Linked DNA regions of Caenorhabditis elegans. The protein of the gene in region 1 purifies or fractionates together with the protein of each later gene. This does not show direct contact. Each region holds a gene or a part of one and is shown on either strand. Other genes may lie near its edges.

Region 1 (4,985 bases):
TTTTCATGCTATAAGTCACTTTTTTCCCGATTTTTCAGCAAATTTCATGGTTTTCCACTAAATTTTCTTATTTTAACGCTGATTTTTCGAGTTTTTTGCGAATTTTCCATTGAAAATCTATGAAATTTCATAAATTTTGGCTCAAAAATTTACTTTTTCACCAATTATTCGATTTTTCAGCTGAAAATCAGTCAAATTTCCGGAATTTTGGCTTCAAAATTCAGGTTTTCACCAATTTTTCGATTTTTCAACTGAAAACTCGACAAATTTCCCGAATTTCAGTTCAAAAATTCGGTTCACACTGAATTTGCGATTTTTTTTTAACTAAAAAATCTTTAAATTTCATAAATTTCAGTTCAAAAAATCAGTTTTTCACCTAAATTTCGATTTTTCAACAGAAAATTCGTCAAATTTCCGGAATTTCAGTTCAAAAATTCAGTTTTTCACCGATTTTTCGATTTTTCAGCCGGAAATCGCTTCAATTTCCGGAATTTTTTCTCAAAAATTAGGTTTTATACTAAATTTTTGATATTTTAACTGAAAATTCGTCAAATTTCATAAATTTTTGATATTTTAACTGAAAATTCGACAAATTTCATAAATTTTAGTTCAAAAAATCAGTTTTTCACCAATTTTTTGATTTTTCAGGCGAAAATCGCTCAGAAACGAGTTTCTCACCAACTTTTCGATTTTTCAGCGGAAAATCGCCTAAATTTCCGGAATTTTGGCTCAAAAAATCAGATTTCAGCCTAAATTTCAGGTTTTTAACGCTGATTTTTTTTCAGATTTTTGCGATTTTTCACCGTTTTCAGGTCAAAAAATTCAGTTTTCCATCGAAATCTCACACCTTAAGCTCTCGCCTATTGCTGGTATGCTGAAACTCTCCAAAATACATTAAATTCGAGTACATCGCGTTCATTCTCTTCTGTTGTTGATGGGGAATTGTGGATCGATGCTCCGAACAGAGCACATCATACGGAGATGGAGCCCATGGCATTGAGTTCTTCACATTATACACTTTTTGATGCCGGCGGGGCTCCACGACGAGCTCTCCGGGCTCCAGGGAAGGCCCCTCTTTGGGCTCCGCCGCAACACCCAAAACCTCCTCCAATTCGTGAATTTTATCCAAATATTCCTGTTTTTCATCGTCTTTTTGCTGCTTTTTCTCCTGAATCTTCAGTTTTTCGTCCATTTTCTTCAATTTCTCGGCTTCCCGCTTCTCGTCAGTCTCTCGTTTCTTGATTTCTCGCGCAATTTTCTCGGCTTCAAGTCTCCGTTCTCGCTGCTTCTTCCGGAGCTCGCGGAGCACAATCCACGCCTCGACTCGTTCGATTCGCTTGAATTTCGCGATTTCGTGGCACATTCGTTCGTCTCCAAAGTCGGATTCTATGAGGAAATCGTCGAATTCTTCGGGTGTCATTTGTTGGTGAACTTGACGTTTTTGATATTTTCGCCACGCTTGGGGATCTGATTTCTCGGATTCTGGCATTTCTGGAAAATTTTCGACATTTTTTGGAAAAAATTGCAAGTTTTTCGGGAAAAAATGAAAATTTGGGCATAGCTTCCGCATCTCCGAGTGACAAATGTGCTCTATTGTCAAATTGTTGCCAGAAATACGGTATTTATTCACATTTTCAGCCAATTTATGGCGTAAAATGTGAATAAATACAGTTTTTATGCCAGAAATCTGAGAAACGCACAAGTCACAGGGGAATAAATAGTTCAGGAGGGTGGCTTTTCTGTAATTTTTCGATTTTTTCTGTTAAAATCTAATCAAATATATTGAATTTCGTTATTTACTGCTAGATATACTGTTTAAAAATCGATTTTATCAATAATTTTTTTAAAAATTGTTGAAAAATCCAAATGTACGGATTTTTCGGAGTTTTTCAACAAAAAATCGTTCGTATTTCTTAATTTTTCTGAAATTTTCAATATCAAATTTGAATTCTCCGCTCTTTTTCACTTTGAGTCGTTTTTTGTTCTAAATTTAACATTTTTTGCGGGGTACTGTAGCTTCAAAAGTACGCAAACACTGAAAATTGAACATTTTTCGACTTTTTCAGAAGTTTTCAAAGATGCTCACACTAAAATTCAAGTTCCCCGTTTAATTTCACCCCGGATGCTTTTTTTTGCCGGGCTTCTAAGCCTATTTTTGAATATCGAGGGGTACGGTAGCCCCGAAAGTACGCAAACACCGAGTATTACGTACTCGGCATCGAACTTTACGACAATTCGTCTAAATTGGCGGAAAACCGGGTTTCGGGGGTACAAAGTGACGAAGAAATCGAATTTCGTATTGAGAAATGCGAAAAATCAACAAAAAGTGCTGAAAATTACAAGTTTTTGACTGAAAATTGAAAATTTGGGCATAGCTTCCGCATCTCCGAGTGACAAATGTGCTCTATTGTCAAATTGTTGCCAGAAATACGGTATTTATTCACATTTTCAGCCAATTTATGGCGTAAAATGTGAATAAATACAGTTTTTATGCCAAAAATCTGAGAAACGCACAAGTCACAGGGGAAATAGCTCGGAAAATCCAATTTTTAGGTTTTTTTTCCAAAAATTTAGTTGTAATCAAAGTAATAATAGAAATAGCAAACTATTACGGAAAAAAATTCGGAAAAATTACATTTTTGTTCAATTTTATGTAAATTTTCCAGAAAACTGGCAAAAATTAGCAATTTCCGTTGTTTTTTTCGTAGAATTTCAAAGTTCTTCTTAAAAAATTGAATTTTAAGTAGTAATAAGTCTCAATTTCTGGAGTTTCTAATGAAAATCGGTTGACTTTACTGAAACTCTAAAACATTATGATTTCTAGTGAGTTTTTGCTACAAAATTTAACAAAACAGCCGCTATTTTCTGGCTTTTGCAGTATTTTCAACAAATTTTCGAGTTTTTAATTCGAGAAAATGCCACAATTTCCGGATTTTCCCAAAATCCCTTACTAATCCAGGGCGGTGGAGCGTCTGGAAATAGCATTTCGCGGCCTCCAAACTGTTTTCTGGGATTTGTGATACAATCCAGACAGCACGTGAGCACATGATCGGCGATTTCTGGAATTTTAGGGAAATTTAGGATTTTTTTTCGAATTTCAAGCTACAAACCATCATATTTCTTGTCCTGCTTGAGCTGCCACATGATTTGGCATCGAATTTCATTATCATCGGGCTCCATTTTGGCTGAAAAACTGGATTTTTAGCTGAAAATCGGCGAATTTCGGGGAAAATATTTAAATAAATAAAACAATTTCGAAAATAATTGTCGTAGAATTGAATGCCTCTTACGCGGTTCACGCTGCACAGAACAGAAACTACCGTACTCCAAACAAAGTTTTAAAAAACAAAATAAGCTCCAAATATCGAATTTTCGTTTTTTAATAGTTTTTATTAACATTTGAAATCTTAAAATAATTATTTCCCAGCTTTTATTACGAAAATCGCGAAATTCTCTTTTATTTCCGCGTTTTCTGCATGTTCCCTTAAATTTCGAAAACCAAAGCAAGCGCGCTCCACTGAGACCCGGCGCGAGAGAGCGTGAGAATCGAGGAGACGCAGAGACAATTCATTTTTATTTTTATTTTATTATTATTTTCCACCATTTTCAGCCCATTTCCCCGATTTTTCGCCGATTTTCTCGAATTTTTCGGCGAAAAAAATGACAACAAACGTGCAAGAGGTGTACCACGTGGTTTCGCACCGTCCGATATACTTTTGGTCGGCAAACGACGTTGATCAGTGGCTTCGGAGGAAACGGCCACGTTTTGCGCTGAAATACGCTCATTTCTTCTTGCGACACAATGTTACAGGTGAGAAAAAGAGAAAAATTGACCAAAAAATTCGATTTTTCACCGAAAAATCGATTTTTTCCGGAAAAAAAACCCTAATTTCCTAATTTTTTCAGGCAGAGTGCTCGTGGAGATGTCAGATGACGATCTACGCGAAATCGGAGTGGAAACTGACGACGAGCGACAGGATTTGCTGCTGGAAATCAAAAAAGAGAAGCTTTACAGCGATTTAGACGAATTCTCGAAGCTACGGACACCTCCGACGGCGATTTAGCCTCGAAAAGTACCCCGGAAAACCTATAAAAATGTACATAAATTGCATATAAAATTATAAAAAATAAAAATCGCCATGTTTTATTCTGTATTATGTGGATTTTTTCGCTTTTTTACGCGTTTTCTCAAGAAAATCGCTGAATTTACCGCTTACTCCAATGATTTTTCAGAGTTTTAGGGATTAATTTTCAGATGGAAGCTTTTGATTTGGGTGCAGATGAGCTCGCCGAGCAACTCGGCGATTTCGAGCCTTTTGTGGCCGATTATAGTGGAAAGGTAGCGATTTTCTCGCAAAAAATGAGAAAAAACCGCTGGAAATTTCTGTTTTTCAGCTTAAAAATTCAATTTTTCAAGCGAAAATGTTCAGATTCACTGGAAAATTCAGTTTTAAAAGCCTAAACTCGGAGAATTTTCAAAATTTTTTATAGAAATTCATGGAAAATGATCGGAAAATACCCATTTTTCGGGTTTTTTAATTTAAAATTATAATATTTAGGGCTAAAAGTCAGATATTCAGATTCAAAAATGGCGGTTTTACGTGAATTTTATCCAAAATTCAATAATTACCAAATGAAATATTTTTTAAAACCCTAAAATTTTAAATTTTAATCTTAAAAATCAATTTTTTTCAATTTCCAGCCAAAAATTATGGAATTTCTTGGCAAAATCCCCAATTTTCCAGATATTTCCTCAAACTTGTTTTGAACAACTGATTTTCTGCCCAAAAATTCGGTCATTTTAGCTATAAAACTAGATTTTTAAGTTTTCTTCGAATTTTGCCCATTTTTTGCTGCTTCAAAATGATTTTAATAATATTTCTAGTGATATTTCACCAATTTTCAGTTAAAAATTGAAATTCTCACTCATTTTTACCCCTAGATATTGCTTTTTTTGCACAAAATATATTGATGGCCTAACTTTT
Region 2 (4,335 bases), on another chromosome or scaffold:
TATACATATCATTTGAATTTTTTGAAAATAGTTTTCCTTCAAAAAACAGTAACTTTAGAAAAATGTATTTACCGTTAAAAAAAATCGCGGTTACGGTAGTTAGCAACGTTTTAGGACCACGAACCTTATGTTGATTCTGAAAATTGTCCTGTTCGAGAAATTATAGAATATCTTGAGATTTTTATTCTAAATGTTTCAGTTTATCTGTGAATTCCTTCTTCTATCACTTCATATCACCCGAATGATGTTATCAGTCAGCTTCTTATGGATGTGGGAATTGGCGATAAACACTGAATTATTGGATTTTCTTGGTATAATTATTTCAATTGTTATATCTACCAAAGTTCTTTTGCATATTTTTTCTTATGGTACACTTTTCCAAAATATTCCAATTTTAAAAATTATTTTCAGAAATAGTCTTCACTTTCAATTCGGAAGAATACGAGCAGCAAGTTGACTTGAATTGATGCTTTAAGAAATAGCATACGATGATTCAAATGGGTTGTATCTACGGGAGCCATGTATTAATGCAATAAATGATTTTCAAACAAAATTTTATAGAATAAAATGAAAAACTAGTCTCGGAGTGTTACCATAGTCTTTTGTCCTCACAATCATTCAGACAGGGATAACTCTTGGTCGTCATCGACGGCTGGGGGTCGAACCAGCGACCCGCTGCACACAAAACACACACGCTACCGGTGACACCATTCATGTCAGGTTCTCTTTGAAAAGAAGTGCAGTTATGAGGCGAAGGAGAAAAAGAAAACATTTATTCTCTAAAATTCTAGCTAGCAAGTTCATCTATTCAAAAATGTACAATGTACATATCACAAATAAGCTCATATCCATAAAAATTATAAAAAACATCTTCAGATTAAATCATTGTTTTGAATCTTCGATATTTGATTTCCAAACTCCGTCCACTTCTCCATTCGAGTATTCTTCGTATTTAAAGATTGGTGCATGCTCCTTCAATAAATCAATACATTTTTCAGTGGCTTGAATTGCAGTCTTCCGATGTGGTGAAGACGTGGAAATTATCACAGATGACTCTCCGATGTCTACTTTTCCTAGACGATGAAAAATCGCGATTTTCTTAACATCCGGATATTCCGCTCGAATTTCTGCACAGATTCCACGTAGCTTCTTGTATGCCATCAAGTCGTGACAATCGTAGGAAAGGTTGCTGACGTCACGACCTCCATGGTTATCACGTGTCACACCGTTAAAGGTGGATATTGCTCCACAGGAAGGGCTGAAATAGGAGAGGTTATTGTTGTTAGTTTGAAAAGATTAAAACATACTGACTAACAAGCTGATCCACAACCTTCACATCTATCACTTCATCAGTCAGTTTTATATGATCATCAAGGATTTGTTGTCTAAAGTTAACTATCGACTTGTTCTTGTCATCAAATTTGGACTCCGAGACATCGATGAATGTTAATCGGGAATCTGTGCGACCTTAAACAAAAAATGTTTAATTGGAAATTGGAATCAGACTCATACTTCTTTGCCTCGCCCTTTCTAAATGTCTAACATAAGCAGGAAAAGCGACGTTGACAAAATATCCAGGTGTGTCTGCAGGCACATAATCTGTTCGAGCTTCGCGTCTTCGTTTGCAGGTTTTCTGAAAAAGTTAGAAATTTTAATAATATTAATCGAAAGAATCTTACAAAATCCAGTGTCATCACAACTATCCGATCACACAGATCCACGATTTCGTCCATTTCGGTAATCATATTCCCGTCGATTATCACATTTTTATAAACTTTCGATTCATTGAGAATCCGTTGTCGAAACTGATCTATATTTATCGCTTCTTTTTCGTCAAAACTCCAATAATATCCCTCATCGGTGAGATGCTCAGCGTCCGGGTGGTAAATTTTTTCAACCTGAAATAACGTTTTTTTTTTTTGAAAAAAGTTTCTGAAACCCCAGACGCGAAATGTTGAGATTTTTCCGCTGAAAACACGGTACCCGGTCTCGACTAGACAATTTTCGTTCAATACAAACGGATGTGCGCCTTTAAAGAGTACTGTAATTAAAAACTTGTAATTTTCATTGATTTTTCATAGTTTTTCTCACAATTAATTGCAATTTTCTAAAATGTATTTGTTTTCAATTTTTTATTTTAGTTGTTTGTTACAAAACAAAGCTTAAACGACAAACTACAAAATCGATTAAAATTTCCTAGAGAAAAGTTTAAAACTACAGTACTCATAAAAAGGCGAGTCGAGCCCACTCTTTCTCTGTACGGAAATAAAGTTAATTCTGTGTTTTGTTTGTGATGGCTTTTTTTCGGATTTTCTAAACCAACCTCGTTTTCAGTTTTGTAAAATTCGTCTTGATTTATTATTGTAGTCTCGCCGGCACCAAACTGAAAATACAATATATTAATCGTTGTTGGACAGCCTCACAGAGTCTCAAATTTTGATGTAAAGTGTGAAGCACGATGAATTGCATATAAACTGCGTCTTACGAGAAAGCTAACATTGTTCCGACTTCTTTGTTTCAACTTACAAATCGTTGAAATTCCTTTGCTAACGTGGATTTCCCGGAATTTGTGCAACCGGCCAAAGCCAAAACATAGGCTTTTGTTGAGGTCATCTGTAAAATTCAAAAGTCTTCCAAAAATTGAAGCAGAAAAAAGCAAGCGGCTAGAAAAATGCAATCAATTCGAACAATAAAATCAATTGAATTATCAGAAAAAAATCGATGAATTTATCTCTTGCATTCTCGTGTGACGGGCCCGGTAGAAAACACAATGATAAGCAGAGGAAAGAGGAGATTAAAACTTTCAGATTTTCAGGTCAAAACCAGCAATTTCAGATTTAAAACGTGGTTATATCGGGAAAATTACATTCTAAAAAATGTTTCATTGAAGATGTATGCATGAAAAATGGGATGAAAATCGCGGGTGGGAAAAGTCAGTGAACCGGAGGGAAAAGGTGAGGTATTTGACACGTGTGTGGGAAGGTAGGAAAGTGAAGAGGGATGGATTCGGATTAAAATGCAGAGAAATAGGAATAAAAACCAGTCTACAAAAAACGATAGAAAAGGGAAAGCTTTAACTGAAAAAAATGTCTGTATTTCAAAACATCGTTTGGCAGAAAATAAAAAACAAAATCCAAAAAAATAGTCCAAAAAGAGTACACAGCCGAATTTTTTAAATAGAAATCCCTCTGCTTTATTCACTGTCACTGTCTGGAACTCGCTGGTTCCGCTTCCCTCTCGTCGGCCTAGGAGTTATGGTCATATCATCGTCAGAATCAACTGGAGCCGGCGTTTTCGATTTAGATTTCGCTCTTTGTGTCCTTGAAGGAGCTTTCGGAACATCTGAATCTGGTGAAGGGCTTCTAGCCACGGTGTCTCTCGATCGTGGAACACCTGTGGCCTTCTTGGTATCAATTTGCTTGAGAACCTCATTCAAAGACAGATTTTGATTGCATTTCTGACATTCAACGTTGTCTTGGTGAGAAATTATCGTTGCACTGAAATCCATTGTTTTTTTTGCTTTTCCCGGCAAACAACCTACTTTTTGAAGCAATTAAAATGACACAACGCATGACATTTCTGACATTCAGCAGTGTAAACCGATCGGGAAATGATTTTTCTGCACAGTTCACAAGTTTTGAGGTCTCCTGTAAACTTGGCACGAAGCCAGGGCTCCAGTTCGACTAGAATGCGTGGTGTGATCTCTGCAACTTCGTTTTCGTCGGTCTGAAATGCAAAATGCACTGATAACTATTATTGAATTCTTATTACCATTAAAAAATACCTTTGTCTCATCATTTTTGCCATGAAAATGTCGCATTTAGGGCCAGGCATTTTGCATGGTTCATGCCGAATTTGAGAATGAACCCAATCCATTTGAACGGTTCCATCTGAGGAAATCATTTCTTCGAGAATAACGAGAAGAAGAGCTCGCTCGACTTTTCTGCAACTTTCAATTGGAAACTTTATATTCAAAAAATTCTTACGTCAAATCGCTGGCTTCACTAATAACTGAAGAATTTCTTCCGCATCCTGTCATTGTGACAAACTCCGTTGGAGATTTTTCATCCGTAGAAATTACGAATCGCCACGGCCGGAACGGTTTTGGCTAGAATTTCAACTTTAATATCTGTTTCCCCATAAAAATTGCTCACCCCTTTTCCTTCATCGTCATTCATAGTTTTCACAATCAATTTCGAAAGTTGACGTGCTTCCTCTCGATTTGTCTGAATTTGCATTACAGTATCTGGATGTCCTGCAAACAAATTGTTTATTCCAATATTATTTCCCTTCTTAAAATTACAGACTTTTCCAGATAGCAGTGGTCAAATGCTT

Evidence for each region.
Region 2: the proteins of M01G5.1 (region 1) and nmrk-1 fractionate together in Caenorhabditis elegans (co-fractionation; one large-scale study listed by BioGRID). This does not show direct contact.

The regions. Positions count from the first base shown.
Region 1 is NC_003281.10:1,494,601-1,499,585, reverse strand, and holds the start of M01G5.1 (Casc1_N domain-containing protein), read right to left. Parts: upstream 3,186-4,985; 5' UTR 3,181-3,185; coding exon 3,111-3,180; intron 3,060-3,110; coding exon 2,952-3,059; intron 1,492-2,951; coding exon 848-1,491; intron 1-847. Other genes in the region: ave-1 (SAM domain-containing protein), read left to right, coding at 3,661-3,811, 3,907-4,064; Y82E9BR.19 (F-box domain-containing protein), read left to right, coding at 4,256-4,339.
Region 2 is NC_003279.8:6,105,103-6,109,437, forward strand, and holds nmrk-1 (Molybdopterin synthase catalytic subunit), read right to left. Parts: upstream 2,614-4,335; coding exon 2,527-2,613; intron 2,384-2,526; coding exon 2,324-2,383; intron 1,899-2,323; coding exon 1,680-1,898; intron 1,634-1,679; coding exon 1,513-1,633; intron 1,468-1,512; coding exon 1,308-1,467; intron 1,259-1,307; coding exon 883-1,258; 3' UTR 761-882; downstream 1-760. Other genes in the region: T27A3.8 (NADH dehydrogenase subunit 4L), read left to right, coding at 200-368, 412-467; nse-1 (Phorbol-ester/DAG-type domain-containing protein), read right to left, coding at 3,194-3,497, 3,542-3,726, 3,772-3,943, 3,987-4,108, 4,155-4,255, 4,308-4,335.